2 linked regions of the Nothobranchius furzeri genome follow. The protein of the gene in region 1 interacts with the protein of each later gene in a pairwise test. Links are inferred from orthologs where the notes say so. Each region holds a gene or a part of one and is shown on either strand. Other genes may lie near its edges. The genes, in order: ythdc1 and tra2b.

Evidence for each region.
Region 2: the proteins of ythdc1 (region 1) and tra2b interact in binary tests that used the Homo sapiens proteins (3 or more experiments, as listed by UniProt). The link is inferred for Nothobranchius furzeri from reciprocal best matches to the Homo sapiens genes YTHDC1 and TRA2B.

The regions. Positions count from the first base shown.
Region 1 is NC_091746.1:69,734,683-69,750,727, reverse strand, and holds the start of ythdc1 (YTH domain-containing protein 1), read right to left. Parts: upstream 10,268-16,045; 5' UTR 10,181-10,267; intron 10,112-10,180; 5' UTR 10,076-10,111; coding exon 10,048-10,075; intron 5,121-10,047; coding exon 5,019-5,120; intron 2,827-5,018; coding exon 2,546-2,826; intron 1,492-2,545; coding exon 1,137-1,491; intron 1,059-1,136; coding exon 996-1,058; intron 916-995; coding exon 800-915; intron 1-799. Other genes in the region: uncharacterized protein, read right to left, coding at 13,085-13,396, 13,513-13,609, 13,864-13,981, 14,198-14,525. UniProt on the Homo sapiens protein: Regulator of alternative splicing that specifically recognizes and binds N6-methyladenosine (m6A)-containing RNAs.
Region 2 is NC_091754.1:18,115,858-18,131,935, reverse strand, and holds tra2b (transformer-2 protein homolog beta), read left to right. Parts: upstream 1-6,433; 5' UTR 6,434-6,505; coding exon 6,506-6,571; intron 6,572-8,818; coding exon 8,819-8,919; intron 8,920-9,006; coding exon 9,007-9,169; intron 9,170-9,268; coding exon 9,269-9,457; intron 9,458-9,835; coding exon 9,836-9,951; intron 9,952-10,020; coding exon 10,021-10,143; intron 10,144-10,243; coding exon 10,244-10,314; intron 10,315-10,399; coding exon 10,400-10,410; 3' UTR 10,411-10,944; downstream 10,945-16,078. Other genes in the region: hce2l2 (hatching enzyme 1.2), read left to right, coding at 1,011-1,070, 1,144-1,186, 1,261-1,323, 1,412-1,567, 1,662-1,779, 1,901-2,079, 2,240-2,321, 2,402-2,526 and 1 more; igf2bp2a (insulin-like growth factor 2 mRNA-binding protein 2a), read left to right, coding at 15,749-15,923. UniProt on the Homo sapiens protein: Sequence-specific RNA-binding protein which participates in the control of pre-mRNA splicing. Can either activate or suppress exon inclusion. Acts additively with RBMX to promote exon 7 inclusion of the survival motor neuron SMN2.

The sequences.
Region 1 (16,045 bases):
GTGTGGTGAAACAGTGTTTAGACTTGTGTGGTGAAACAGTGTTTAGAGACTTGTGTGGTGAAACCGTGTTTAGAGACTTGTGTGGTGAAACCGTGTTTAGAGACTTGTGTGGTGAAACAGTGTTTAGACTTGTGTGGTGAAACAGTGTTTAGAGACTTGTGTGGTGACACGGTGCTTGTGTTTTGTGTAGTGTTTAGAGACTTGTGTGGTGAAACCGTGTTTAGAGACTTGTGTGGTGACACGGAGTTTAAAGACTTGTGTGGTGACACACGGTGCTTGTGTTTTGTGTAGTGTTTAGAGACTTGTGTGGTGAAACCGTGTTTAGAGACTTGTGTGGTGAAACCGTGTTTAGAGACTTGTGTGGTGACACGGTGCTTGTGTTTTGTGTAGTGTTTAGAGACTTGTGTGGTGAAACAGTGTTTAGAGACTTGTGTGGTGAAACAGTGTTTAGAGACTTGTGTGGTGAAACCGTGTTTAGAGACTTGTGTGGTGAAACAGTGTTTAGAGACTTGTGTGGTGAAACCGTGTTTAGAGACTTGTGTGGTGACACAGTGTTTAGAGATTTGTGTGGTGAAACCGTGTTTAGAGACTTGTGTGGTGACACACGGTGCTAGTGTTTTGTGTAGTATTTAGAGACTTGTGTGGTGACACAGTGTTTAGAGACTTGTGTGGTGACACAGTGTTTAGAGACTTGTGTGGTGACACAGAGTTTAGAGACTTGTGTGGTGACACGGTGCTTTATAAGGCATGTGAACCCAACAGTGAAAGAGCTGCAAACCAGACGGAGGCTGAAGCACACCTTTGCTTTGGCCAGGGAAACGTTTTCATGGTTGTTGCTCTTAATGAGGAAGAAGCGAGCATCTCGCAGGATGTAACGGAGTTTGTTGGTGGGATCTGCAACGGCACAGGAAGTTTCTGTAATCAGATGACGTCACAAGTGTGAGCAAATGAGGTGAATGCTGTGAAACGACATAAGGAGCTGGAGGCCTTCTTACTCTCCATCCCTTTTCGAACAGCTCGAACTGACGACGACAGCTTTTCTCGCTTCTTCTCCGATTCTGCCAAAACGAAAGCACACGATCGGAGTTAACGTCAACCAGTCTGGACGAAAGCTAAACACCTGCTGCCACGATTACCTGAGGCCTCAGAGGCGGAGCCTGTGTGGGCTGATTCACCATCATCAGAGAAACTCACAGAGGAGGCAGATCGCGAATCTCCAGCTTCACTCCTTGTGTCATAGTCGTTTCCCTCACCACCACGACGCTCGTCATATTCCTCCTCCTCTTCTTCTTCCTCTTTCTCTCCTTCCTCCTCATCCTCTTCCTCCTCCATGCCCTCCTCATCTTCCTCCTGATCCTCCTCCTCTTCCTCCTCCTCTACGTGGGAGGAACTGCCCGATGCCTGCTCCGAACCATACTCCGGCTCTTCCTCTGACTGGTTCTCATCATTATGGGGGGAAAGCGTCGTTCGCCGTTCATCACGCCGCAACTTCTGATGGCAAACAGGAAGTGACTGTTATTGGCAGAATAACTTTTAACTTTAACATTAGAATATTGTTAGTTAAATTTCCCCATTCATTTCAAAAAGCAAAGCTCATCTGAAGACCTCTTTTTTAACGCTTGCTCACACTAAACAGGTCAGAAAATTAGGTACGTGATTTTCTAAGCTATATGATGAGAACTTTGAAGGGGACACAGAATCTAGACCAACATTTTCTTGTTGTTTGTTAATAGAAGTAGCACGCCAGAAGGTCAAAGCCGTTTGTGACCTGCTTTTTATGTAAATTAGAAAGTTTAAAAATGCCAGAGCAAAACTTTTCTGAGAAACTTCTCATAAAAACGTCACAATGTGGAGCCCTTCCTCCTCCAACCCGCAGTCTCCAGTGCCATAGGCCTTCTGGTTTAAACCGACCAATCAGCAAGCAGCTCATTAGCATATTCATGTCCTGGCCAGGAGTGGAAATTAGCACTGGCCACGGCTAACACGGTAAACCCATGAAGCGGCGGGTTAATGGGCACAACGCCCACGCCACAGTGGCAGGTCTCAGATATGAAGGTGAAGCAGCGTTGTTTACACCCCTGACCTGACGAGGGCAGCAACGCGCCCGTGATGCCGTTCTCAATAAAAGAACTGAACATCAACATTAGCGTCGTAGCTTTACATTCCTGCGATATTGTGGTGAGGCTCACAACAATAAATACTTTGACTGGTCACGGCTATTAAGTTACCTAGGTAAAATACGTCCACACGACAGAAACGATAAGTCTGGTATTTCTAACGACGTCATTCACTGTCCTCCTCCTCAGCCGAGTCGCACCTGTTACCTGCAGTACAAAGCTACAGCTGCTAACGTTAGCCGTTTGCAGCTTGACGGCTACGTGCTTTAGCACAGCTCCGTTCCAGCCACCGACGGGTCCAGTGCTGTCGTTTTATCGTCCCGCTCTACTGTAAGGTAGACACAATTGACTGAATAATGGAACGTTTTCTACAGCAGTCTACTTTGGGAACTTGTACTTGAATCAACAGTCACTGAGAGCAGCAGTACCCGGCTCAGACCCTCTAGGCCCCGTTGGGACTCTCTCCGCCGTGCGTCCTCTCCTCCACGGCTCCGGGGCCCTTCTCTGGACCCTTGCCTCCCCTTTCGTTCGTCGTAGTAATCGTGACGGTAGGTGGTGGAATGGCGGCTGCGAGGGCTGGATGACTTCTTAGAGGACAATCCCAGACCCCTCTTAACTGCAGATGAAGATCTGGAGGGGGTGTGGCCCGATGAGGAGCGAAGCCTCTTTAGATCCCGGCTTTCAGAGCGTTCGCTCTTTCTCTTTGTACCTGAAAGACGAGATCAGGGTTTAATCACACACACAAAATGAGACACCAGTGGTAGTCTGGCCTGGAAACAAGCTCCAGACTGTACTTGCACTAGGGATGAACAAAGTTAACCGGTTAACTGCCGTAAAGGTCGTAACCGGCTATAACAGCTTTGTCCGGTTAGCTGCTGGTCACCTCCATAAAGTGCACTTGTGTGTAGTTTTGTAGCAGTTGAGTCAGCGATGACATCAGATCAGGCATCGCAGACATTCACAAGTCAGGTTAAGAACAGTCACTTCCCTCTCACTCAAGGCTCTGCCAGACCACACCTACATGCCGCCAAGCACTCTGGGAAACTCATGTCGACTCAAACATGAAGCGGTTAAGAAAGCACGGCGCTGGAGCATTTTATTTACGGTAGTGAACAGAATGAGCCCCACACCGCCGTGCGTAGCCTGGCAGAACGTTGACACCAGCAACAGATTCAATTCAACTTTATTTAAAAAGCTCTACATCACAACCAGTCGTCTCAAGGCACTTCACACAGTAAACAGTACTGGTCAGGTCATTAAGCCAATCAGTAAAGTTTCCTATATAAGGAACCCAGTAGGTTGCATCGAGTCACTGACTAACTTCAGAGTCTTTACAGCAATCCTCATACTAAGCAAGCATGCAGCGACAGTGGAGAGGAAAACTCCCGTTTAACAGGAAGAAACCTCCAGAGGATCCTGGCGCAGTATAATGGGCCATTCTCATCTGTACCGGGTCGGCCCGGGCCGGGTAGCCCCAGTTGGCCCCAGCCTGGCCCGGTTGATTCCACACATCCTTGCCTTAAGCCCATGTGGGCTGATTCTACCCACCAATCAGAGGCTTGCTCTAATGGAAGGTGTGAATTTGCTGTCAGCAGTGGGTGTGTTGGCCCTGGTCGGCCTGAAGCAGACCCCCTCGAGAAGAGGACTGAGAATGAGCCTCGGTTGGCCCGGAAAAATACCAGGCCACCCAGATATGTAAACAACCTATGCTACCCGGCACGGGCCGACCCGGTACAGATGGAAATGGCCCATAAGCAGCCATCCACCACGACTATTATTTTTAATAAAAGTTTATTTTTTGGTCTCATAAAATTATTTCTTTCAGTCCAAATGTTGCGTAAATGTAAATTTGATTACATGCCTGTAATGCATAGCGTCATTTCAACATGGGGGTGTCCGCGACACGGTTTATATGCAGGTAGCGGCACTGCGGCTGCTTTATATAGCGACTCGTTGCATTCTCCCTCAACCCAAATCCTTGGATCACGCATTTTAGCTAAAACGCTAACTTGCCTTGCGTTGACTGTAGAGTTGTGGGTGATGGTCACGCAGATGTGTCATGAGATTTGAAGCGTTGCTGCCTTTCACAGACACTTTTCCTGCACTGCTGCAAACAGGATAGCCGTCTTCTATCAACTGCCCCTCGGCATTCTTCAAATATCCAAAAAATGCCCGTACTTCCCACTTTGTCTTCTTTGAGGGATAATAAATGTCCTGAACGCTGCCGTCTCCTCCTTTGGCCATTATTTCAGCTTTAGCTTCAAGAAAGTTTTGGTCGTAAACAACAAAGTGTGCATGTGCCGCCGGCAACTTCAGCAGATGATACGGTGGCTGATAAGGGTCATAGCCACGGTAAACCCACCGAGATAATATATCTTTTAAAAAACAAGACGGTTATTATTTTTGTCAACTTTTTTACCGGGGTTTACCGCTACACTGGTTACCATGACAACCCTGGTTGGTGGTGGTTACAGATGTCCATGGTGCAAATGGCAACCATGCATCCGTCAGGCTGCCCCAGGGTGGCTGTGGCCATGTAGCATCTTACCCTAACCAGCAGCCTTCCAAAGTGCAATATAAATTCAATTCAATTCAATTCAATTTTATTTATATAGCGCCAAATCACGACAAGAGTCGACAAGAGTCGTCTCAAGGCACTTCACATAACATTCCAATTCACAGTTCATTAAGCCAATCAGAAATAATGTTTCCTATATAAGGAACCCAGCAAATTGCATCAAGACACCCATCATTGTTGGTCTCAGTAGTAATCACCTTTCCACTCTGATTTCTAAGTGTGGTTTTCTGGCACAACCACAGTAAACACAAGAGAAGTGTTGTTGGATAAAAGCTACTGTCAGACACAACCAACCAAAGTGCCACAAGTATGAGTACGAGTACCTTTCTTGTCGCTGATGTCTCGCTCTGTCTCGGGGTTGTAGAGCTCGTCATCATGATCTGGAGCTTCAGTCAGCAAATCCTCAAGAACATTGAGTTCTCCATCTGAAAGAGCGGGACACCCATGAACAACAACTTCAATGATTACCAACGGCCAAGCCTAACATAGCAGCCACGAAGACCCGGCCAATGGAAAAATATTCATGTCACAATTTTGTTTTTGCAAACTCAAAATCCCAATTTTAGCGCATCTTTTCTATTTTGACAATTCAGACATTTTAGTTATTTAGCAGTAAAATACATAAATTATGAAGCATCTATTTATCTCTCCAATCACAGTGGAGAGCGAGAGAGACGTGTCCCAGATGTCCCACAGGCAGGTAGAGGTATTCAACTTCTACCAATTTCCGCAGTTCACATTAAGCGAGACAGGAAACCACACAGTTTCTGTGTAAAATCCCCGGTTATTTTCAAAATAAAATGCAACGTTGCGATGTTATTTATAACTTACGTCAGTACGTGTGACCGAACGGCTTTGGTTAACACCAGTTTCTTTCGGGAAGTGCAACGGTGTGATTCCTCGCGGGGGTTGAGATCTCTCGATGAGGAAGGTGTCGGAAGTCTCGAGGGATTTTAGAATCTTGCGGGTACAGCGAGGCACAGCGAGGAAGCTGTGCGGCGGCCAAGACTCTCCCGGTGTGAAAAGGACCGCTTTGAAGTTCGCGAGTGAGCCGCTCTGCTGCTGTTCCGTTCCGCTGATGCTTGCAGTGTGAAACCGGGGTTACTGCTCTCCGTAGCTGTGCCCTGACTATGCAGCGGAGGGGTTTGGCATTAACAAAGCTGTGGTCGGCAGCCACGGGGTAAGGCTCGCTAAAACACACACAAACGTCCCCACAAAGCCAAACGCAAAAGTTCAGAGCAGAACGTTTCACCTGGAGGTTCCCCGATCGAGCAGACGTGTGAGAATACATGCAACAACCACTAGGATAGAGCAAGCTAGTGGCTAATGCTAGCAACTACAATCACGCTATGTACTAAACTACAGAAGGCAGTTACAACACAGGGAACCCGCCTCAAGGCTCTCAGTCTGGTTTTAAATGCAGGGTTTCCCCCAGCGCTTTAAAAGCGGACACAAACGATGCAACAAAACTAGAGCCTTCCATCAGCTGATACTGGTGAGAAACAGCAGCAGAACTGTACAACCACCCCACCCCCGCTCTCACAATGGAGCGCTGAGGGATGGAGCGCGCGTGGAGGAGCGCCAGGCTTAACTCAGGCCTAGTCCACACGTAGCTGGGGTTTTTTGAAAACGAATATCCGCCCCTCCAAAAACTTGCATCCACATCCCCGCGTTTTAAAAACAAACTCTGTCCACACGTACCCGGATAAAGACGTTGTTAAGGACATGCCAGACCTGTAGGCGGCAGCACTTCCCCCGTTCTTATCCTCGTCCTTCGTCTGTGGTCTTCCGCAAGGAGCAGTAATTCCGCTTGCAAAAACAAACAAGCAGAAAGCGCTTGGACAATTGATGGATCGGGTAGTGACAGAGCGCAGCTCTGAAGGCTTCCATGCTGTCGGCTAGTGTAAACACAGGTCGCACACGTGATGTCAGCATTTTTTGTCGTGGAAAGTGACGTTGCGGACCTTAAAACTCCGGTTTTGTCTGTCCACACGCAGACACCCAAAACGGAGAAAACGCAGATCTTCACTTTGGCCGGAGTTTTTAAAAAGATCCGTTTTCGTGTGGATGACAGACCAAAACGTAGACAAATATCTACGTTTTGGCAGATCCCCGGCTACGTGTGGACAGGGCCTCAGTTTCTGGGGGAAACCCTGAAGATGGAAAAAATATCAGTGTTAATATCGGCCCAGTTTTATTTATCAGACCGACACCGATATGCTAAAAATGACTATTATCGGCCGATACCAATATAAGGTGCATCCCTTAAAAAAAAAAACTGGTGAAACTGGAGCGGTCCAGGGAGTAGAGCTTGACCTTGTACAAGAGTACTTCGGGATCACCCTGGATTCGACACCATCTTTTAAACAACACATAGTCATAGCGAACACATCAGATCCAATGTACATAACTTTAAACCATAGAGCATTGCATTACAACCTGGACACACACCCTTAAAACCAACAGAAATGTTATTCAAAAAGTCTGTAATAATTCTTGATGAAAAATCTTTTGACCTGTGTACTATTCTGGAAAAATACAATATGCTTAATCTACAAAGGTCTGCATGGACTCGCCCCACCTCCACCAAACTAAGAACTGAATGGTTTTGGTACCAGAGCCTCCTCTGGTAGAGACCTGGAGATTCCCTACAGAAAACAACCTTCGGACAAAACGGCTCTGGCAGTCAGAGGGACTCACTTTCGGAACAACGTACCACGGAATAGTAGAGACTGTCCCACTTACAGGATTTTCAAAAAGCACTCAAACTTTCCCAGTCATGCACACACCCCACTAATCTTTATTGTTGAATTTGTTTGTCTGTAATGAGATTGTTGTTTTAGAATTGTATGTTGTCAGCAAATTCAATGTTGGCTTTCCTGCCTACAGTGCCTAGGGACTACAGATGGAAATTAGCAACTGTGCTATAATCTGGCTCACTTACAGTCTGTACAGAAGTACTTGATTGTTCATTAATGTGCAATGTCCCGAATACATTAAAGAGAAAATAGAGCTCACTGGTATTTCGGATATTTTACGTTTTTGTCCGTTAAAAATTTGATGGAGAAATCTCTGTGTTGGTCATTCTGACAGACTGGAATTACCCCGACGCATGCAGGTGAGCAGACATCATAAACGTTACCCAGAGAACATCAGGAGGTAACAAGATCTATCAAGAGAAGCTTTCCATCAGAACATCTGAGCACCATCTCAAACCCGGACACCACGATCAGCAGCTCGGTGTCGCAGAACCAGCAGGTAAAGCGTTGCTACTTCAGGTGAAATGATTTAAAAGTGACATAAATATGATGCTGGGCACGCTGGTCAGCTTGTTTGGATTAAATATTAATGAATTTTTATTTAATGAGAAATGAAAATAACGGGAGGAAACGATCACGACCGTTTATGGAAACAAACATGTAGCTAACCTCTGATGTGGGTGTTTCTGTAGCTGCTTGTGACTTATTAATAATAACGTGTTTAATTAAGGCTCATCCAGACATGAAACCTGGAGCAGCTCCTGTGTTTGTGGAGTCTGGACGGCTACTTTTTACTGTTACTAGATGACAAGTATGTTGAAGTAGTACTACGCTTACTCGGGTATGTATTTTCAGCAGTAATGAAGTCTGAGCTCGTTTGTTTCCTTTGAGGTTGTAGAGACCTACTTGGCTGATTGTAGACAGTTTCTGCAGATACTGATCTCTATCCTCTTTTAACAACTTGCTACCAGGCCACAGCGGGCAAACATTACATTAGGTTGTTTTGTCTTTGTATGAAATGTCCCAAATCAAGCAGGAAATAAAACTTTAACCACCAAAAACCACAGAAACAGCTTTGATATGATGCCGGTGTTAGGCCGATATGTGTTCCTCCCTCGAGATCTGTTTCTTTTGCACCCAACTGCAAATGGAAATGACCCCATCACAAGAAATAACCCTAACCATAACCACCCCGGCACCAAAAATGTATGTTTTGCATAAATATAATTTTTAAAATATTATGTGTAGCACATTTTTTATGTTTGTTTCAGGGTTATTTCTTGTGGTTGGGTCGTTTCCACTTGCAGCTGGGTGCAAAAGAAACCGATCTCGAGGGGGGAACACATATCGACGTAACACCGGTTGAACGTAACACCGGGGACACACCGGCCGCCGAAGCGCCGCGAAACGGGGACCTCCTTCATTCGGCGCCCTTGTTAACCTATTCAATAGGTCACATGGGCCGTGCCGTGCAGCGATCGTTTCGGTGTCTGCTCTATTTTTTCGCGAGCCGCGGATGAACCGCGTCAATTCTGGCAGGAAGTCAAACCAAAACAGAAGAGGCAGGCTGGCAAATTTAACAAAATACAATTCCATGATAGTCAAATGTTCGTAAACCACACACACACACCGAACTTGTGCGTGTGACCACGTGAAGGGGGTGTGGTTTTGGGAGTCTTTCAACCGGAGCAAACAGGACAGAAGCAGAAAGTCGTAGGCCGGCTATTAACAACTGGTTCACACCATAGGATCCCACACACAAACAGCAAGGGGGGGGGGGGGGGGGGGGGTAGAGGAAAAGAGCAGAGAAAAGGCAGAGTGGAAATGGAGGACACCAAGTGGTTAAAAGGAAAAACTATGAGGCGCGCGCGCCTCGACCGGAGAAACAAGCGTTTGGTCTGAACTGAGGAGCAGCGGCCAAATTTCGTGAGCGCTTCAGCGGCCGGTGTGTTCCCGGCCTAAAAGTCAGCTAAACATGACTTTCTCCGCTGATGGAGATGTGGACCGGCAGGGGCGTGTTCAGGGAGTGGCCTGGGGTAGCACATGCCACCCTTGGAATCTGACTGGCCACCCCAAATACCACCACACTAATTTACCTTTAAATAGGCTTTTCATTGTCCACAAAAGGCTTGGGGGTAAAACTAAAAAAGCATAACCATTGGTGCCACCCATGCACAAAGTTGTGCCTCACATGGGCCACCCCATTTTAAAAGATCTGGACACGCCACTGTGGACCGGGAATCCGGACTCAAAGACCCGTTCAGGACCAGAGTCTCCACTGGCCCCTGTTAGGTACATTTACTGCCCTGTAACCTGCAGTCAGCTGTAAGTTATGTTGGATAAAAACGTAACCTAAATAAAGATAAACAAGAATCAGAACACGGACTTGTGCAGCGTGGTCCAGTTGGCGCATGCGCAATGGGACTGTGCATATCTGCGTTTTTCGCCATTTAAGAGCCTACAGAACAGTTGGTTTTCAGGGAGTTAAACGGTTGGCGTACTGACTCCTGCAGTGGAATGAAACCATGAAACCAACATTCATGCTGACTCTGAAGAGCAACAAGACGCTAGCTTACGCTAACAGCTAACCCACCTTTGTCCTCGCGCCGCTCGGCCGCCATCACTGAGATGTGCTGTTGCTTCACGCGCACGTAATGCTAAAGAACAAACTTACAATTATAATATGCTAATATTTCAAATAAACTGTTATCTTTAAGTACTCTTACAAGGACTTGAAGGAGCCAAATGGCGGACTGCGTCTGTTGTCTGAGCGTGTTCTTCTTCTTGTTTAGTCAGTAACGTTGTGGCGTATTAGCGCCACCGACTGGACCGGAGGGGAGTTACAGAAAGCGAGTTTAATTCAATTCAAGTTTATTTATAAAGCGCGAAATCTCGACCAGAGTCGTCTCAAGGACCTTCACACAGTAAACATTCCAATACAGGTCAGTTTATTAAGCCAGCCAGTAAAAAGTTTCTTATATAAGGAACCCAGCAGGTTGCATCGAGTCACTGACTAGTGTCAGAGTCTTTGCAGCAATCCTCATACTAAGCAAGCATGCAGCGACAGTGGAGAGGAAAACTCAATTTTAACAGGAAGAAACCTCGAGAGGATCCTGGCTCAGTATAAGCAGCCATCCACCATGACTCCCTGGGGATGGAGAAGACAACACACACACACACACACCAAGTCATGTTTCTATGGTTACATTGTGATTTCTTAGTAAATATTCTATTTGGTGAGATAAACTTTATTGTATTTATCCTAGTGAATCTATAATTAAATGGGTAAACTAGTAGTAGCACATTCAATGTCAAAGAAAGTAAAATGTTATTATCAGGAGAGGGAGAATGTTTAAGTGGTTTGCAGCAGTGTGCTAGACGATGGCTCCCTCCATGAGGCCACCACAGCTCAGCAGAACATCATTGTAGCTTCTTCTGGGGAGAAAAACACTTAGAGAAAAAATAAAGGTAACAGCTGAAATAGCAGAAAATAATACAGTTAAAGAGCAGATTGTAGAAGAAAGTAGTAGATTGTGGAAAGTGGTCAGTGTGTCCTCCAGCAGTCTAAACCCAAGGCCGGATTATAATATGGGCAAACTGGGCACAGGCCCTGGGGCCCACAGCAAAAAGGGGGCCCACGTGAGCAGCAGTCTTTTTTTTTGTGCAGCAGTTTTAACGTTGAAGAAAAAAGTTGACAAGTAATTAAAATTGCGCCCACATTTTCAAAGTTAAACACGTCTCTCAACAACGGTAGTTTCTGCATATTTACTGTTCCCCTGCTTCAGCCCTCTCCCCCCTCCCCCTGCTTCAGCCCTCTCCCCCTCCCCCTGAGCAGCGGCCACAAACTCACTGATGCTCCTGACAGAAACTGGTTCACCCGAAAGACAAAACTCCTAAACACAAACTGAACAATGTGGTGTATGCTGTACAGTGCAGTGAGGAATGCCCAGACCTCTACGTCGGAGAAACCAAACAGCCACTTCACAAGCGCATGGCACAACATAGTGCGTTTACATGCAGCCAGTAACCCTTTTAAAACCCGGATATTCGCAATAACCCGGTTCGGCACGGCCATGTAAACACCGTCAAAAACCCGGATATGCTCATAACCGGGTTTTTAAAAACCCGGTTACTACACCTGGGGTAACCCTTTTCTAACCCGAAAGTTTGGTCGTGTAAACGCATATCGGGATATCCCCATCAAAGCGTGTGTTCTGCGCATGCTCTGTTCGCAAGGAATCTTGGTCTTTTGAGTAGCGACACATCTTGTATGCGCCAGAACACCGGAAGTAAACAAGTTGGGAGCAACATGGCGAGTCGCAGCCGGCACAGCACCACACTTTTGGAGTGACGAGGAAACCTCTCTCTTCATCGGTCTGGTTCATCTTGAAGGAGAGGATGATGATGTTATGGATGAAAACACAGGTAAGTCACATGACTTTCTCAATCCAATACGTATACCAACAAAGGGTTTCGCTCTCGGAGGTAGATACATGCGTCGACCCATCTGTGTTTAACCTATCATTAACATCTTTTTTAACATCAAGCTGTAACATTTTGCTTGTTTTTATGTCTGGCCAGATGCAGATATTGGAGAAGGTGGACCTTCAATGACTGTGCCTTGCCAGTCTACACAGCCATCAAATCCCACTGCAGCTACTCCTGGTGAGCTTTCTAAATACTGTTACTAAAGGCATAACTGGTTGTAGCGTATTGTAACCCCAGGTCACTCCTCCTCCTTGTGTAATGTCTGAAAATAGTACTTTTCTTTAGTGGATAATTTGATTACAGTGATTATGACATATTATGTAATATAACCGTTGACCCAAACTAAGGACTATTGTCACTTTTGCATTCTTAGTAAACTCAGAATTGTAGGAAGATATTTGTTTATGACGAAGGAGCAGGTGACATTCTGACACGTCAGCTAAAGGTAAAGAAACATCTTCTAGAATCCACAAGTTTCATAAGAATGCAAAAAGTGATAATAGTCGAACACTAAGAGAGAACTTACCCAACACTTTCTAAGGCCTGTCATGTCTGCTCTAGGTGGGTCAAGTCGCAGGTCCAGGCACCGTGGAGCTGCTTCACTTACTCAACATCAACAGTTCATGGAGAGAATGCAGCACACGCAGAACCAATGGTTTGAGCAGCAAAGGCAGTTGAGACATGCCAGTGATGAGGCACTCATGTCTCAAATGATTTCTGAATCAACCTCACATTTAAAAAGCAAAACCAAAATGTTATTTTGTTATGTGCTTTATTAAAGAACAGATGTTTTATTAAACTTACTAGAAAACTTGTATGTGTTGACATTTTATTTGAACATTGCATATACCTGTTCTTTTTCAGAGGTGCACAGCAACAAAGGAGAAGGCAGATAAACATCTTTTAAAACTTAGAAAATAAAGCGTTTTGAAAAGTATCGAGCTTACAGTTTAAAGTTGTTTGTTTCCTATCAGAGCCGTTCGTCCTGCACACTCACGCTCTTACCAAGCGCTTACGGAGTGGGACACGTGCAGCAAGGTAATCAGGGCCCGTCTGATAGCTGAGGCTGCACTGTTATCAGCCCTATTGACCTGTGACACAGGCTGTGGAAACAGCCTTTCTACTGATGTGGCCTCCTCTGCCTATCTGGGATTAACATGCTCCTTCTCCATCTCACAAAAGTTGTGTAGAGCACAACAGGTTGCTACCACGTATGGTGTGAAAGTAAAATGGAAGTCACTGCGCTTCAACAGAACACGGAAACGAGATTTCAGTCGACCAAATGCTATCTCTATACTTGTTCTAGCAGAACTCAAATAGACGTTGAAGCTTTCCTCTTGTGGTGTCAGTCTTGGGGACTGCAGATAGCCCTTCATTAGCCAGGGCATCAGTGGGTACGCAGGAACTCCAAGCAGGAAGAAATCCACATCCTGCCCCTCGATCTGCACTGCTCTCTAAAGTGGGACAGATAGAAATATTATTCTTCCTAAATTATGTCATAATGCATCTTAGATATGTGGCAGGTGTGCAACTTGCATTTAAATACCAAAAGTTTTAATGCATTACCCACCTTTGGGAAGGATTGTGCATTGTTGAACAGATTGGACTGGCGGAGTGCATTGGCGTCATGTGCTGAACCAGGCATTTTGCAGTTCACACTCCAAAAACTATGGAAAATGTATCACAGTGAATCAAGATGTAGTGGGAGCGGTGTGATTAGTGGCAAAAAGTTAGGAAAATTATTTCAGGTCAGTAATGACATAATTATTTGTACATATAAGCTGTTGATGTTTTTTTGAACAGAGAACCTCTCAATTGATGTTTGTGAGTGGTTCTAATATAGCTTAGTGATGTGTGTCTGTCAACATTATATACAAATCATAATCATGAATACAAAAGCTGGGAATGGCAAAACACCTACCAGTATTTGTCATCACAGACTCCCTGGAGGACATAGGATGGCCATCCCTTCCTGTTTATGAAGTCTCTGTAGCCATCACTTGGAGGCAAGCAAGGGATGTGGCTCCCATCCACACAACCTATGATAAAAAGTTAAAAAAAAAAAAAAAACGAAAAAATATGCACACAGCAGTGTAGCCTACATACATAGTATAGTTCACATTTAGCCTACTCTCAGAAAACTATTGACATTAACAAGACATAAGAGCAGGAAATATTTTACCTATGATTTGAGGAATGGAGTGGGCACGTTCAAATCTTTGTGCAATGCCACATGCCTCCTCCAAAGTGGGTACCCGGATCAGTGTTTTGATGACTTGAGTCGACCATTCCGTTGCAGAATAGGTACACCATCTTCCTCACGGTGCTCTTGTGCACTCCAAATTGGTTTGCTATCAAACGACACTCTGCACAGCTTGCTAGTTTATACAGCACCATGGCAACGCCCATTTCTGTAGGCACTGGTGTGCGGATGGTTACTACACTGGGCTCCATCACTCTTTCCATCATACCACAAAGTTTAGCAAAAGATTGACGTGACATACGGAAATTCTCACGCCATTCCGTGTCCGTGAACTCCATCATTACAACCAGTTCCCACCAGTCCTGGCTGCGCACCTTCATCCAAAGTGTCCGCGGGGCTCTGGTGGTAACGGGTACCGTCGATATGTTGGATATGTTTAGCGCAGCTCTCTCTATATTTGCAATTTCTTCCTCACGTACTCTCCTTCGAATGAAGGCCAGTACGCACAGTCGTTGTAAGAGCTGCCGGTGGGTCAATACCAGCAATAAAGCGCAAACAAACGCGCCCGCTATCTCTGCCGAACTGGGAAACATGTTGTTGTTTTCACGGATACCGGAACAAGATGACCTGGAAATGACGCGTCTTGACGTCGTCCATACGTCCTGACGCTACCCCAAAGTCCGCATTGAAAACGGGTTATGCAAATTAGGGTTGCCTCTTGCTTGTAAACGGGTTATCCCGATCAACTCAGAAACCCGAAAACCGACCTTAACCCGATCATAACCCGGATATTGGCTGCATGTAAACGTAGTCATTGAAGAGCCACCTCCACGGGACAGGACTCAGCAGTTCATTTGCATCTAAAGGACAAAGGTCACTCTTTCGAGGATGCCAACTTTCACATTTTGGACAGAGAGGACAGATGGTTTGAAAGAGGAGTAAAGGAAGCCATTTATGTCCACTGTGAGCAACCATCTTTGAACAGAGGCGGTGGTTTACGACACCGACTGTCTGCCATCTATAATCCAGTTTTGAGATCCCTTCCCAGATGCCTCAATGCCCACGCATATCCTGGGCCATCTGACCTCAGGAATTCACATGATAGGGTGGGGCCAGGCTTCACAATGAGCTCACCCGAAACTCTGGCTGAATAGGACCCACACCCACCCTCACACCTTGGCTCATGTGTTTATGTAGAAGATCATCAGGGGGTCTTTTGTTCCCTCTTCGGGGGGAAACTCCCACTGGGTTTAAATCTGGGACTCTCCACCATTTGACCTTAGAACTGAAGAAGCCTCTCGGATGAGAGGTGAAACGTCTTCAAGAAGTCCAGACGCTTTTCTTTCAAAGCTCATTAGACTACAATGACCTGGATGACTAAGAACCTTCACAGACGACTTATTTGTTACCATTTCTTTATGAATTATGTAAACTTATAGTTTGTTTTCTTTTCATAACTTTGTATTTAGTTTAGGATTTCAGGTTAACTCTTAAATTGGGTCTAGTCCTTTTGTTAATTAGGTAGATGAGTGTCGTCCCCCCCCCCCCCCCCTTGTGTCAACTTTTCAGCTCCCTTTCTTTGTTGTCTGTCAGGTCAGTTTGTTTGTTTAAGCTGCTAGCCAGAGATGTTGTTATGTTAAAGCACCTTTATGGTTTTTCATTTGACCTCTTTTAAAGGGCCCATGTGTAAAGTAAACTTGTTTTTTGAATTTCTGGGTAAATAAATCCCGTTCTTTCTTTGAAACGACCAGTGTGTCCTCCTGCCTGACCGTCTCGGACCCTCACACTGGGTGACACAGTAATAAACAAATCCCCCAAAACAGCCAAATAAAAGAACCAAACCAGCAGATTCTTTATATTTTCCTATTTTACTGTTTTTCAGTCTTTTTAAACGGCATGC
Region 2 (16,078 bases), on another chromosome or scaffold:
GTTGATGTGCATCGTTTCTACACCTCATCAGTTCTGGAACAATGAATGTCAGCAATGGCTGAATCTTAATTTCGTGCTCTGCTCAGTATTAAAATCAAACATTTAACCAAATGTAATTAAAAAATAAATCAATAAGTTGACCAAATAGTAAGTAAAAAAAACTGAAATTATAAAGAAATGTAATGCTGTTTAAAGAATTTATTAAGCAGGAATTTAAATGTACATCTAAATAAAATTCTCCAGAAGTACCGGGCTGGCCACGGATATGCCTGACTTTAAATCTGCTCACCAAAGAGGTATAGTGACAGGTGAAGAAACATTAAAAAAAAGGTAAATATCATCCCAATATATCAGTAGGCAGATATAATAATCTAACTCTAATTTAAGGTTCTACAACTCCATTTTCCAATTAAACTGCTTTATTTTGATCACCTAATTTTTTGTTTTGTTTAATTCTGCACTGATTCTGAATTTCTAACACTGTTTAAACAAAAAAACTGGTGTTTGGTCAGAGCTAAAGTGTAATCCTGTTTGTGGCCAGCCATGCATTTCCAGAGAAACATGAGGCATCTGAGGAATTAGAGAACGTGGATAAGAACATGTTATGATCTGAAATTAGCTGCACAACAGAGCATGTGGACCATGGGTAAGCTTGGATTGAGTAGAAAGAAAACAGCACTCTTAGTAAATGTACACGCCATAGAAATCCCCAAATTGTACCGATCTGGTGCCAAACATTAAACCATTTATTTTAAAGCTACTCATTGAATTTGAGCTGTTATTAAACACAGTAGGACCTCACATTATGCTCCCGTTGGAGATGTTGTTTTTAAAAAAAAACTCATACTAATTAGAGGATTAAAGTCACTCACAAACAAATAACAACATCCCTGTAATTTAGCTGAGATAATCATGGGTATTATGTCTGAACAGCGACTGGGAGCACCTATAAAACCGGGTGTTAGTGTAGGTCCAAATGGCAACACAGGGGACAAACCTGACTGGAGAAGATGGAGCAGATGGCCCTCCTGTGTGTGCTTTCGACTTGCTTCTCAGCTGTGCAAGCTCAGGTAAACACGCAGCGAGAGTCGGTCTCAGGTAGGATTCTTGCATGAACAAAACTCGCTTTTGCTTTTCTTGCAGAATTATTTGCTGAGTCCAAAATGGGTCCCTGTTGGCTTTAGAGGTGAAAACATTTGCTCTTTTTTTTGGGTACAACTTTGGCTCCGTGTGCACACTGACAAACCCTGCTGTTTTTAGAGCGTGAAGAGCGAGGCGATGCAACAGCGATGGATAAAATAATCCAAGCGAATGAGTTCCACGGTGAGTTTTGCCCACACTCTTCCTGTTTGTTTGCAGTTAGGAATGAGTGACAAATAGCTTGTGTTGGTTTAATTTCTGCTGATTTCAGCCACCAGAATCATTGATGGCACTACCACTCTCCGAGAAGGAGACATTGCTGTCTCCTCTGGAAGACGCTCCAAAGTCTGCTTTGCTCGAAGCTGCTTGTGGTCAAAGTCAGTGGATGGACATGTCTATGTCGCATACATGCTCTCCCCTGAATACAGTATGTAAAGTAATTTAATATGCTCAAATAAATGTTGCGATTGATCAGTTATATTCTGTTTTCTGTGCGTTTTTTAATTAATAATTAAAAACAGCTGAAATTGAGGAAAAGCTGATAAAGAAGGGGATGGACAACATCGAGGATGGTACCTGCATCCGTTTTGTTCCTCGTACTCACCAGAGAGACTACCTTGACATCCAATCAAAGTCTGGGTGAGTGATGAAAGGTGTGATTCAACCATCTTGTTGTTTTTAAGGTAATTTAGCAAAACGTTTTGTGTGCAAACGTGCTTCCCAACTTTTTATTTCATATTCTGCGCAATGGTGAATCAAGGTGTTGGTCCTACCTTGGCTCTCGTGGTGGAAGACAGACCGTGTCTCTGCAGAACCCTGACTGCATGCAGGTTGGCGTGATCTCCCATGAATTTATGCACGCCCTGGGCTTCGTGCACGAGCAGTCCCGCTTTGACCGAGACAACTACATCACCATCATGTGGCCAAACATTTGGAGAGGTAATAAAAAATAAAACACACCTACAGTGACATTTAAAAGAAAAAGTTAAAACTATTGTTTTCTATTTGCGTTGCCGCAGCGACTTTAATAGAAAACTATTTTAAAAGCCATGTTTAATTCATTTAAAATAAAGTGCTTTTCTTGATGGTTTTCTAACAGATCGGTTTAGAAACTTTGAGAAGTTCAAAACCGAGAATCTGGACCTTCCTTATGACTACAGCTCCATCATGCACTTTGGGATGTACGTATTGTTGTTTTTTTTTTATCTCTGCACACCGTGACTTTGTTCTTGCATGCTTTACAACACGTGTTCACGCTTAGGTATGCATATTCGATGGACGGAGAACCAACCATCGTTCCGAAGACCAACAGGAACATTAAGCTCGGCCAGGCGTCCTCTCTCAGCCACGTTGACAAGCTGAAAATCAACAGACTGTATCAGTGTGGTCCGTACTAATCGTATACTTAAGTCCGCCTAAAACGCGGTGGAAAATGTTTGACTTTTCTTTGTTTCTCTCTCTGCAGCTGTAAAAGACGATTAGCAACCGACCCAAACTGAACCCGAAAATGAATCCTCTGAGAGCAAATCGAGAATACAAACTTCTGCGACATCCTGCAACGATCCATTCAAGCTTTCTATCAGCGCTAACTTTGTTTAATTCAATTTATCTGTTTAAACAAATCGTGCTGAACGAGTAAGGAGAACAACTTCCTGTGAAACTGGATTAAAGCTTAGTCTTGTCATCTTTATGTTTCCACTCACTTCCTGTAATAAAAAATCATGAATCAAACCCTGCTTGCTTATGTGTTATGTTTTAAAAAGCTCTATAATAGAACAAACGGATAACTAATGATGCAATAATATGAATTAAAGTCACTATTTTATATCTGATAAACCACACCAGATTGTTTAATGAGCAGACGTGTTTAAAACCTTTGAATACAGATATTTCTGTGATAACATAACTGATTTCATAACCGTCACTCTTCCCTGAGTGCTCTTCCTTCATAATTGCCCCTTAATCAAAATAGAAATAGTATTTGGAGAGGGATAAAGTCCTGTTTGTATATATTTACCCACGTGACAAAGTGATTGTTGTTGTTATCTGATAGTATGTCACAAAATCACTGGTTACCAGTTCGCTCATACTCAAAATTGCTGGTCTGACTGGGTGGACAGTCGCGCCAATGATAGCAGCTGCTGAGCTGCAGCACATCCAGCTGCAAAACACCTCTAAGTGTCTCTTTTCTGAAAGTGCTGAGTAATGAAGGTCAGCATGTGGACCACCTGTTGCGGATCAGTAGTGGACTTGAGGAAATTACACCCACTGGATGATGAGAGGTCTTGTGCCGTGCTTCATCACAGAAGAGGGGTCCAATCAGTAGAAAGCTGCAGAGGAGAAGTGGGTATATAGATTCAGTGGAGGTGGCGACTTTTACGTTGCTTCTGCACTGGAAGACGACAAATTCAGACTCAAACATGCAATCTCTGATCCTTCTTCTGGGCGTCTTGTTCGGCTTTCCAGCCCAGGTGGATATGCTACCCGTTAAGGTGAGTAACCTGTGTTTTAAACGCATTTCTCTGCAAACTGGATGTGTTTACGTTTCGTTTTGTGTGACAGAATTCCACTGATGTTCTGGAGGGCAAGCCAAGACCAAAGAGGAAGTACTCTGGTGAGTTTTCTCTCATATACCAGTTATAATATTCTACACTTTTATTGTAATTCAGTCTTCAGAAAGATGAAAAGGAAGCGTTTCTTTGTTTTTCCTTCAGATGAAATTCCAGACTTTGATGACATGACTGCAATGGATCAAATCCTTGTAGTCAACAGCAGTAAGTTTTCACAAACTGATGCCGATCGAGGCTTTTGGGGTGTGTTCTGAACTTTTTGTTTTTAAATCAGGACTGCGAGTGCCCAGAGGACTGTCCTTCAGGGAGGGAGATATTGCCTACTCTTATGCACGGAGTGCCATAAACTGCCCTGACAACACCTGTCTGTGGCCTAAATCCATTGATGGATTTGTTTATGTGCCCTACATCCTCTCGCCCTTATATGGTATCAGCTTTCTAAGGTGTTTCGAAGATGGTTTGGAATCATTAGGTGTTCCAATCAAAGTTTTCCCTTTTCTTATGTAGATGACATGGACAGAATCACCATAGAAACCGGGATGCAGGACATTTCTGCCGGATCATGCGTTAAATTTGTTCCTCGCACTCATGAGGCTAACTTCCTTGACGTCCAGCCTCGATATGGGTGAGAAACGCTCCTTGTTAATTGATTTTTTTGTGTGTTTACGATGATTCGCATAGTACACTATGCTCTCTGTTCCAAGATGCTGGTCGTTTCTGGGACAGACTGGAGGAAGTCAGGTCTTGTCACTGCAGAGTCCTGGGTGCATGTGGGCAGGGATCGCTGCTCATGAGTTCATGCACGCGCTCGGATTTGTACACGAGCAGTCCCGCTCAGACAGAGACCACTACGTCACAATTGTATGGAAAAACATCATGCCAGGTTTGGATTCGGGACAACTTCCCAACAATACATCAACTGCACTAATTTAGGAACTCATTTTAGGTACATTTGATCTAAATTAAACTAATATTTTTGCTTGTTTGATTGTTTTAACAGAACATATCCATAACTTCAGAAAACAGGCAACGAACAATCTCAACAGCCCATACGACTACAGCTCTGTCATGCATTATGGACGGTGAGCTGCTGCTTCATAGCCTAGTGAACTAGACCAAATTCTTGCTTTGCAAAGAATGGTCTAGGCATGCTCCATTGGAACCTCAGCAGCTCCTACCAGGACTCTGGCTAGCCAATCACAGCTCTCTAGAGGGGTTTCAAACACATAAAGAGCTGTGATTGGTCCATAATGGTGGGCCAATCATAGTGCTCTATCTGCTTAGTGAACAAATCACAGAGCTTTATTCGCTTTGTGGGCCAATCAGGGCACTCTATATGCCTGGTGGGTGGGATGATGCAACAGAGTGAAACAAGAGTATGTCACATTCATTGTCCAGTGGAATGCGGAGATCATTTGAAAGACAACGGTAGAACCCGCCCCACAACCGAGAGCCGTCAATGGAGCGTGGCCAGACTAAATAATACATTTATTTAGTCTGGCTTGCCAGGTCTGGCTAGCTGCTTCAGGCAACATAATCATATGTCTTCTGAGATTTTTCGGTGGCATCATTTTATGCATCTCTGATTCAGATACGCCTTCTCTGAAGACGGTGGACCAACAATCATTCCCAGACCAGATCCTTACATTCCAATTGGCCAGCGAGACGGACCAAGTGCTCTGGATCTTCATAAAATTAACACCCTGTATGACTGTGGTAGGTATAATGACACAAAACAACTTTATTATTTAATTATACTCATAATCGCTGATCTCTTATAGATTTTTTTATTTGATTTTCTCTCCAGGTCCTAATGAGTAACTAAATCTCTGTGGAAATCTCTGCTCTAAAGTCCTGCCGAATGTGGAAAATAGTTTATTATCATTCAGGCTAATTCATTTTTAATAGGCAGAATTTTTTTTTGTGTGTGTTTGTGTTTTTAGTTTGTGTCGGCTTTTAGATTGTGTCCACTCATCTTTGGGTACAAATCCATTGATTGCCATCAAACTATTGGATATATCAACTAAAATATGAATTCTATGAATATTCAGCCTCCCCTGTGACAAAGCTTTGTAGATAATAATTTTGTACAATCGTCTGCTCTTTTTGCTTTTGCTTTTTGATTCCTAATAAATAAAATGCAACAGAAAAAAGTTGTGGTCACTTTTACATATGAATCATCTGTGTTTTTCAGCAATAAATGAACAAATCAATTAAATTCTATTATGCTGTATTATTTTTCGCACAAGATCTTAAGAAAATCTTGTACTTTCCCGTTGACATGCCAAATCATCACACATGCATGTGAACAAAATGTATATTTAGACAGGTTTGATTAGGCTTCTATCAATTATTCATTTCTTACAAAAATGCATTTTTTGTGACTTAATGGTGTGTTATTTGTGCCTTTCTCATGTAGCTTTGATACACATTAAATTTACTTATTTTTACATAAACTGGAGGACATCAAAGGAGGAGCATTAGATTTAATGATGAATTCTCATATTTAATTGTATTAGGTAAATTACTTACTGTGAGTATTTCCCATTATTATTATTATTATTATTAGTAGTAGTAGTAGTAGTGTTGTTGTTTGATTATTTTCTTCTAATTGAATCCAGCCCTCTAATGCAAATATATATATATAATTCTACAGATGTTTTTCCATTGACATAGTTTTATTTTGTAGCTCTGCGCTACTTTTGAAAAAGAAAACTGGTTTCCGCTGAAGGGCTGAGCGCGTTTGAGTGACGTCATTTTGATTTCCAGGCTGTTTGTCAGTCTTTTCTAGCTCAATGGAACACAACAGTAACCCTCCATCTAGAATAATCACTATCAATAAAATGAGTGACAAAGAGCAGGTATGTGTGAACTTTTTTTTTATTTAGCTTTTTTTTATTATTTTCAATTCGTTCATGATTAAAAAGTGATTCTCTTCCGAGCACCGCGTTGTGTTTTTCGGCTAATGCTCTTTCTGTTTGCTAACTCGTGTTTTTGGTCAAATGTATCATGTTTATTTACTCCACGAAGCATAACAGTGTTAAATCGGTCGTTTTTTCCCTACGAGAAAGCATGTAGGATGAAAATTATATTATTTAGCTTCTGTGAATTAAGCTAGCTGGCTAAGGCTAACGTGTAGCTAGGCCTCAACTTCTGATTACTTTTGTTGCGATATTGGCAAAGGTCTACCACAACCCGCAAAGAAATACATTAATTTTTAAACCATTCAAGCATTTTTAGAGGTAGCTGTTGCAACTTGAACACATTTTTAGCTGAAATGCTAATTATGCTAATGGAACATGCTAGAAGGAAGTAGACGCTAGGGCTTTTTAAGCCATAAAAATTATCGATGAAAGGCTATAATTTAATCATTTGTAGTGCTTTATTCATGTTAACTGTGTGTTTGGCTGCAACTTCGTGTTTGGGTGATTTGCATTTGGTGAAACGGTCAACGTGTTATTGCATTTATCAGCGCAGAAATGTAAAAATAGAAACTCAAAAGGCCTCAAGATGTTTCCTCTTTCATTTACCTGTCAAAGACGAAGGTGGCACTACACTGACTCGATCCGATCAGACTAGAGGCTGTTTTAAATGCTAATTGTTTTTCAGAACCTATTGGGAAATTGTAATATTTAAGGAGATTATTGAGATAATCTTCAAATATCTATTTCTATAAATTAATTAGCTAAAATAAGGATTGTATGTTTACACCCAGAAATAGTCGGGGTTGAAAATCTCTGTAATGGTTATTTTTTAAATCAGAAGCTGAAATTTGGTAACTTCTAAATGTTCTGATGATGCAAATTTATTTGTCTACTTCTCATTTAGTGACTTGCACAAACATCTTGTGATTGATTGGATATTTGATATATTATTTGGGGAATAAGAATAACTTGTGCCTCGTTTGTTTTAAACTTTTTTCTTAAAATCACACTGAAGATCTTTCGAGTGCTGATGATGGGAAAAAAGTACAAACGAGAGGTGTTTGCATCTTGTGGTCATTTTTGTCTGACCTTGCAGTTATTATTTGTAAAGGGTAAAGGACAAATAAGTGGGTTTATTCTGAAATGTAGCTTATTCACATTCAGTGGTTTGAAATGACGGTGAACCATTCATTTTTATAATTTTTTTATGGATGAATAAAACTCCATTGTTGTGTTTTTTTCTGGTGCGACACGTCTCATGCTTTTGTTACGTTCAGGTTGATAAACTAATTGTGTTTATAATTCTCACTTTTCAGGTTGAGCAGTGATTTTTTAAAGATCCCTGCACCCTCCTTCACTTGCTCGTTTTAAAAAACGCGTTGTAAATTGTTAAACAAAATGTGCCAGTAGGGCGTAGAACCACTGAAAGTGAATTATCTTAAAAAAAAAAAAAAAACTGAACATTTGTAATCTTTCTATTTGTGCTAAAAGATCCTGATAACACATGACTGATAACACATGACAAAGTTGAATGAGCGTGCCCTGTTAACTGTAGTCATATATTCTTCATCTTCTTTTTCATTAAGGTTAAGGTTGGACGAAGAAAATGCAGAAGAAGTCTCATGTCCACTTTATTTTCAGTAATATGAAGCTGAGATGTGTGAAGCTGAATTGTTGAATGCATGCTAAAACATGAGGAGGGAAGAACTATGAGCAGTGTGTGTGAAGGGAGAAGTCAGAAGATTTAAGACAATTGAAGAAAGAAGAATAATGTGAAGTAATGAAGTTACAGAAATGAAGTTAAGGAAGTAATCTGGATAAGGTCACTGCGCTAAGTAATTTTCTGGTCTACTTGTCAAATGCGTGCATGTTTTATTTTGTTGAATACAACACAAATTAAATTTTACAATTGAAAAATTTATTTGAATTGTAATTAAGTTAATGTAATCATTGTTGCTATTATAACCTTGGTTGTACAAAGTAACATTAAACATTTATATTTACAAATCAATTTTTTCTACAAATTAACAGGATATATTTAATTCCTATCTCTTTAGAGACTTTTTAAAAAAATGTTCAATATCACATCTGTGATGATAACTGTGTGTGTGTGTGTGTGTGTGTGTGTGTGTGTGTGTGTGTGTGTGTGTGTGTGTGTGTGTGTGTGTGTGTGTGTGTGTTCAGAAGTCTCGCTCTGCTTCCAGGAGCGTGAGCGCACATGGTTCTGGGAAGTCGGCTAGTCGCTCCCGCTCTAAATCCTGGTCTCGCTCCAGGTCCAGGTCTGGGTGAGTTACGAAGCAGCGCTCAGGTGGACTGGACTGAAACGGCCTTGAACTCGTGTGAGGGTGGAAACATTGTCTCTGTCTCTGCAGATCACATTCCCACCGTGGCTCCCGCAGACATTACAGCCGCTCTCGGTCCCGCTCCAAGTCCTATCACCGCAGATCTCGCAGTCGGTCCCACAGCGGGGAACGTCGGCGCAGAAGCCATAGTCACTCCCCTATGTCCAATCGCCGCAGGCACATTGGCAACCGTGTATGTCCTCATTGTTTAGATACATTTCTTTGAATCTGCTCAGCATGAAATTTATAAGCAGATAAACCTATTATTGACCTAATCTTAATATTGCAACAGGCTAATCCAGATCCAAACGGTTGCCTGGGAGTGTTTGGCTTGAGCCTGTACACCACAGAGAGGGACCTAAGGGACGTCTTCTCTAAATATGGACCCCTGGCAGATGTTAGCATCGTGTACGACCAGCAGTCAAGACGCTCCAGGGGCTTCGCCTTTGTTTACTTTGAGAACACAAACGATGCTAAAGAGGTAAAATAATATTTGTTGATTTAAAGAGAAAAAAAATACCTTTCAGATCTATTATTAAAAAAAATTCCATTGAAGGCTGTGTTGATTTTTGCAGCCAGGAGAGAGCAGAATGCATCTCTGCTAGTAGAATTTAACTGTTAGCATTAGCAACTTCACAACATGGCAGAAGTCCTTCAATCTTATTTGTGAAGATTACACATCAGTGTTGCAGAGCAAACAGAGGCAGTTTAAGAGTCGTTTCTGCCCCTCACTCATCCATCTAACTTCTACTTCTGAAAACAGGAGCGCCAGAGCTTTTTTTCCCCTGAAAATGACTCAAAACATTCATTCTGCAGACCACAACAAATGTATTGATGTGTTGTCTTTTTATGCTGTCAGGCGAAGGAGCGTGCGAACGGCATGGAGCTGGATGGTCGCAGAATCAGGGTGGATTTCTCCATCACGAAAAGACCTCACACCCCAACCCCAGGGATCTACATGGGACGACCCACGTAGTAAGTCAACACAAACATAATATTTACAGCAAATAAGAGAAATATTAATGCTTTCACATCCGTTTTTAGTGGTGGAGGCGGTCCCGGTGGGCCACGGCGCAACTCACGTGACTATGATCGTGGATATGATCGTGGTTACGACAGAGGCGGCTACGATCGCTATGACGACAGAGAATACTACAAGTCGTACAGGTGACAGTCCCTGTCTGTCGGCTTTAGTCAGGATGATTTCATTAGAACATTGATCCTTTTTTTAGGCTCTTATTAAAAGTTTTTTTTTGTGTTTTTAAAGACGCCGCTCTCCATCGCCGTATTACAGAGGAACATACAGGTCTCGGTCAAGATCACGATCATATTCCCCGCGTGAGTGCTCAGAAATCGTCACCTCTTATTGAAACCATCATAGTTGGGATTATTCTAATGAACTTGTTCTCTCTCTCTCTTGCAGGTCGATATTGAGCTGTTCCAAGCGGCTTTAATTCCCTCTCCTCCCATGAACAGGAATTTTTCTGAGAAATATCTTTAACTTTGTACTTTTTTTCTTCTTTAAGGGATAGTTGGGTTTCTTAAACTTAGGAACGTGTGTCTTCAGTCAGTTGAATGTGGCAGAATTTGTTCCAGTTGATCAGTTCTTGTTTATTGTTTTAATTGATGTTTTTTTTAAGTTTTTGAACCCGATGGACCTCATACTCCCATGTTCTGGTCGTTTGGCTTTGAAGACTCCTCACACGTGGCCTGTTGGCGATCGCCAATAGCAACAGTGTGAAATGACGGTATCTGTAATACAGCCTAGTAATGGTGAAGAAACCACTTTATCCCATTAAGATTACAGCTTATACATAATCACAGGAAGTGGTGAAGCAGTCCTCTTATTGTTGTACATTTTAAATGTGAAGGAAAGATTCGTAGTTCTAAATGTGATAATTTATGGTTCACAAACTGAGTGACATCTCATTCTTGAACAAATAAAGAGGGAGTATGTTTTTTTTTTCACCTTGACCTGGTTTTTTAAAATTTATTTATGGCCTTGAGCAGTTAAAAATAACTAAGAATTTAGTAAAGCTTTGTAGTTTACAGTGATGGAATAAAGAAAAAGCTGAGTCTCTAATGTTCTCAATGTTTTTTCACCATATTTAATTATTGGACTCAGTTTATAACAAAGCTCATAAAACTGGTTCAACAACTACCCCTGCTGGTCTACGAGAGCCTCTGAGAAGTCCTAAATCTGCGTCTACTGCATAAATCACTCATTTAAATTAATGAAAGGGCACGATTGTTGACACAGACTTAAATGATTATTTTATTTAACGGTTTATATGCTTCCCTTAAAATTTTAGAATCAACATTTTTTATTGCAAATTGGCAGAATTAAATTAGGGAGAATTATGATTGAAAATAATCACTAGTGTGGTTGTCTAAATCAGGCTAAACATTCAATTTGGGCAAAAATTTCTGTTTTATTTAGTATTAAAATTAAAATGTAATTTATTTCTAGTTTGATTTATGTTATGTTTTTCATGGTTCTCATGTAAGGTAAAAACATGATATTTACTAGGATGCATGTTTATGTCCTTGGCTCAGGTAATTAACTAATATTCTTTATTTTCTAGTTGCAAACAAACTGAGTTAGGCACATTAGGTTACAGCACGCCTGCTGAAAAAGCTGATATTAATTTATTTGAAATGACAGTTGATTTGAAAAAAAAAACCTAATTTTATTATAATAAAAAAATGGATGAATTCCTGAAGTGGGAGCAGAGAGAAGACAAACCAGTAGAGGACCACACCTTGGAAACTGCCTATTTCCATGTTCTACCACATATGTGTGCGTTGCTACACTCGTTCTCTCCAAATGTCACATCCCTTCCACTTGCTGTTCGTTTTCCTTTCAGAGTGGAAACTTTTATGCCTGATTTGATGACATGTTGACCTATTTGGGCAAAAGTTTGAATATCCAGCTCAACAGAAACAAAAAAGCAATCGGCTAATAAGATAAATGAATAATTTCTGTTTAAAAATACGCTTTTTAAAATAAAACTCATACATCAATAGCATTTTTACAATTTGAGATGTCTTTTCCCACTTCCTTGGATGGCACAAAGTGTGTAAGAAGGGCATGCCATCAGGGAAGTAACCCAAGAGCTTTTATTTTTTTGTAAATAAGCCAGTTTGGACATTCCTCTGGCAACTGATGGAAACAGGGCGGGAAGGAATGGTCACTCCGGCTGCTGCTGCTGCTCTCAGCACCACAGTGGGGTGGCAGTAATGCTCCAAACCCTCAGAAAAAAAGAAAACAAAATTAGTCACATGTAAGTCAACAAAGCTCCGCCCCTTTGTAGGCACAAAACTACAACATCCATGTGTGAGCAGCTGCAGCTGCCGCCTTAAGCATGCTTCCCTCCCAAACACACCCATTTACACAACCAGCTCTGCAAATAAAAATGTGCATGGGATCAATGTCTACGAAAGAAGGAAAGACTCCATTTAATAAGCTACAACATTAATCATTTTTATGTACAGTACTGGCCAAAACCTTGGAAACATCTTCTAATTCAATGTGTTGTCTTTATTTTCATGACCATTTACATCGGTAGATTCTCACTGAAGGCCTCAAAACTATGAATGAACACGTGGAGTTGTGTACTTAACCAAAAAAGGTGAAATAACTGAAAACATGTTTTATATTCTATTTTCTTCAAAATAGCCACCCTTTGCTCGGATTACTGCTTTTCACAATTTTGGCACGATGAGCTTCAAGAGGTAGTGCCCTGAAATGTTTTTCCAACAGTCTTGAAGGAGTTCCCAGAGGTATTTAGCACTTGTTGGCCCCTTTGTAAATGGTCATGGTCATGAAAATAAAGAAAACACATTGAATGAGAAGGTGTGTCCAAACTTTTGGCCTGTACTGTATGTGAAATGGATCAAAAACATCAGGAGACAATCCCCTAATTATCATTGTTCAGTGTTTATTCTATAGCATCAAATATTTCAAGTAAGTAGGTACAAAAACTTTATTACCATAAGTAGAAATTCTGGGTATCCGAATGTCAGTGGTGTCATTTCCACACACTTACCTGTATTTTTTACTTCTTACATTCTAAAAACATCACGGCTACAACTATTTTATGTTGGCTTGTCATAAAAAAACCACAAGGACAAAAAGTCCTAATAGTGAATTTGACTGTGGTTGGATAATTGTAAACATCCACCATTACGACACCTTTTTGGTTTTTAACATCCACATGTGGGTCTTTAATGTTTGCATCCCACTAAACTGTGTTCATTTTCAATGAGCATATGTGGTTAATACATGTAGCTTAGTGTTGCCCAAATTTGTCAACGTTAACATTTTTATATGCCATTATATTCAATAAAGCCTTTAAAAAATAAAAAAGTTTTTGAGAGGTGTGGTAGCGTTATAACACGGCTTAAGATTTCACCCTGGATTTAAAAAAAACTTACTTTACTTTTACTTTTATACTTTAAAGCCAAAATTCTGTGTTTTTTCTTTTCTTTTTTTGGTTTTTGTCAGAGGGCACCATCCAGAGGTGGAAAAAATGCTCGCACCTTAATATAGCAATAGCAAATTTGGAAAACAAATTAGCTTAAAAACTTTGTTTTCATGCCTCTTAACAATGTTCTAACAGTATAGCTATAAATATATTGTGAAGGTAAAAAAAATGGTTATTTTGCATTTGTCTAAAAACCTCGGCTAATAACACCTTTTGGACCTAAAGTAACTATTGGACCATCTTGTTGTCGTTTTTGCCGAATCGCCGAACTTCCCTGGGTCCTCCATTCATTACACACTCTCGTCTTTTGCAACAGAACACCACCGGTGTGAGAGATTCTCCACTCTCTAATAGCAGAGAAGGAGAAACAACCAACTGCTACCACTTCAACTTAAGGACAAACTACCAGAGTCCCAAAAAGACAAAAGTGTTTAGATCTCTTTTGTTTTCACTGGTAAGGAGATGTTAAGACTGTCACTTTTTCAAATTTCTAAAAAGAAATCATACATAAATCCTGAAAGGGGGAGGGGGCTCTGGATTGCTGCTTTAATTGGATCACTTTTCTTTTTATACATTTACGTACTTTTGAAACCAGTAGGGGTTGTATTAACTAGCTGGCTAGTCAACTTCACTGCTCTGTACTGACTTTTTATGACTTTCATAGACTAGTCGCTGTCACGTGATAATGACCGACAAGATGGAGTCCTCCAAAAAGACAGCAGGTGATGAGCCCCTGAGCGTCGGGAGGCGACGCATTGTGCCATAGTGTCGGTATCTGACGCCTGCGGTAAAACGGACATTTGACCGAATTGTGACCTTTACCCTCTTGCATTTTAACCTTCCCCTCACCCCCATCCTAACCTTAACCAGCTTGCGCATGCAAAGCTCTGTTTCGCGTTTCATCGTTCCTCTCAAACACGCTTCACGGAAGATTTAGACTGGCATACTGGGTAAAGGTTAGGGTGGGGGTGAGGGGAAGGTTAAATAGCAAGAGGGTAAAGCTCACAATTCGGTGAAATCTCTGTTTTACCGCGGGCGTCAAAAAGTGACGCGCTGTGCCAGAGCGTCACCTCCCGATGTGCGTCGGAAAAAAATACGCTTGGTCACCCATCGTCAGTTTTAGCTGCTTCAGGTGTATGACATCATCAATGAATAGTCAAAGTCAACTGGATTTTCATTACTTGACTGTCAACTTAAAAAAAATTAAGTCATGCAGCCCCTAGAAATCACTACTTTTTACTTTCATTCAAGTAAAAAGCTTGAATTGATACTGCAGCTCCCACAGAAGTGTTTGTAAACCATCTAAACTTACCTGAGTAAAGAATGTAAATATGTTTGACACCCCTGCTAACATCATAATAAAAGTCTTGAGTAATTTAAAGTGGCCCCCTTTCCCCCCAGCCCTCTTTAAAAACTTTCTGAACGCACCCCTGCTCCTAAAATATTACAAATTTTACTCAGTATTCATGTTTTTCCTATATAATAACCCCAAATAAAGATTAAGATTATCAAAAGAAGTCATTTAAACTGGCTAATGATATCCACATGGTACAACAGCTGTGTGGTTTCACTTTCTTTTCTGGGATTTTGCGCACAAAATACAACAAGATCCTCTTTAAAAGATGCTTTAATCACCTGGAACAGGTGCTCGCTGCTGAATGAACCCCGTAAATTCATATTGCGTCACCCATAAATAAATAAATAAAACAAGGATGGGGTCAGTGATAAGTACAGTGACAACGATTTGATTTTCCACACAGTAGCTCCTATTCACACACACAACACCTCCCCCCAGCCTGTAGGGACCCACGAAGGCACGGCCCTTATTATGATTTGATGAAATAACCCCTGTGCCTCCTTCTTTAAGCCCATCCCTTTGCTGAATGCACCCAGTGATCATCATGCCACTTTCATACGCTGCACTTTCCACGCAGGACGCGCAGCAGCCATCCCACATGCACCTCCAAACATTTTTTCTCGTGATTTTTAAGGGAGATTTTATTTAGAGGCGGCGCTTGTTCCGGAGCAGCGTCGCAGCGACACTTTTTTCTCTCTCTTTCCTCCCCCCTCCACCTCCCCCCAATCCCTGTTGAAAGAGTTTGACCAGGGCCAGAGTTTGGTACTGGGGGTCGCTCATTTAGCTCAGTAATAACCTGAAGGGTGATTGCTGTGCTTTTTTTAACCCAGCATTTTTTTTAAATTTATTTTGTATTTAATTTATTTTTTTAAACTCTTGACTATCCTATTAAGATCTGGCAGCCTTTCGAGATTTTTCCTTTCAGATCATGAACAAACTATATGTTGGGAATTTGAGTCCTTCGGTCACTGTCGAGGACTTGAAGCAGCTCTTCGAGGAGAAGACGCTGCCAGCGCCCGAGCAGGTCCTGCTGAAACCCGGCTATGCTTTTGTAGACTTCCCCGATCAAAACTCGGCCATAAAGGCTATTGAGACTCTATCCGGTAAGTGTGCGATGGATTTGATAAGTGATGCTGCAGAGTGACAGGGGGACATAAAACCACATTTAAAAGAAAAAAGGAGAGCACAATAGGGCTAGGGTGCCCGAAATGTGAATTATGCATCACTGATTGTTGTTTTTATTGTTTTGCATGGGACA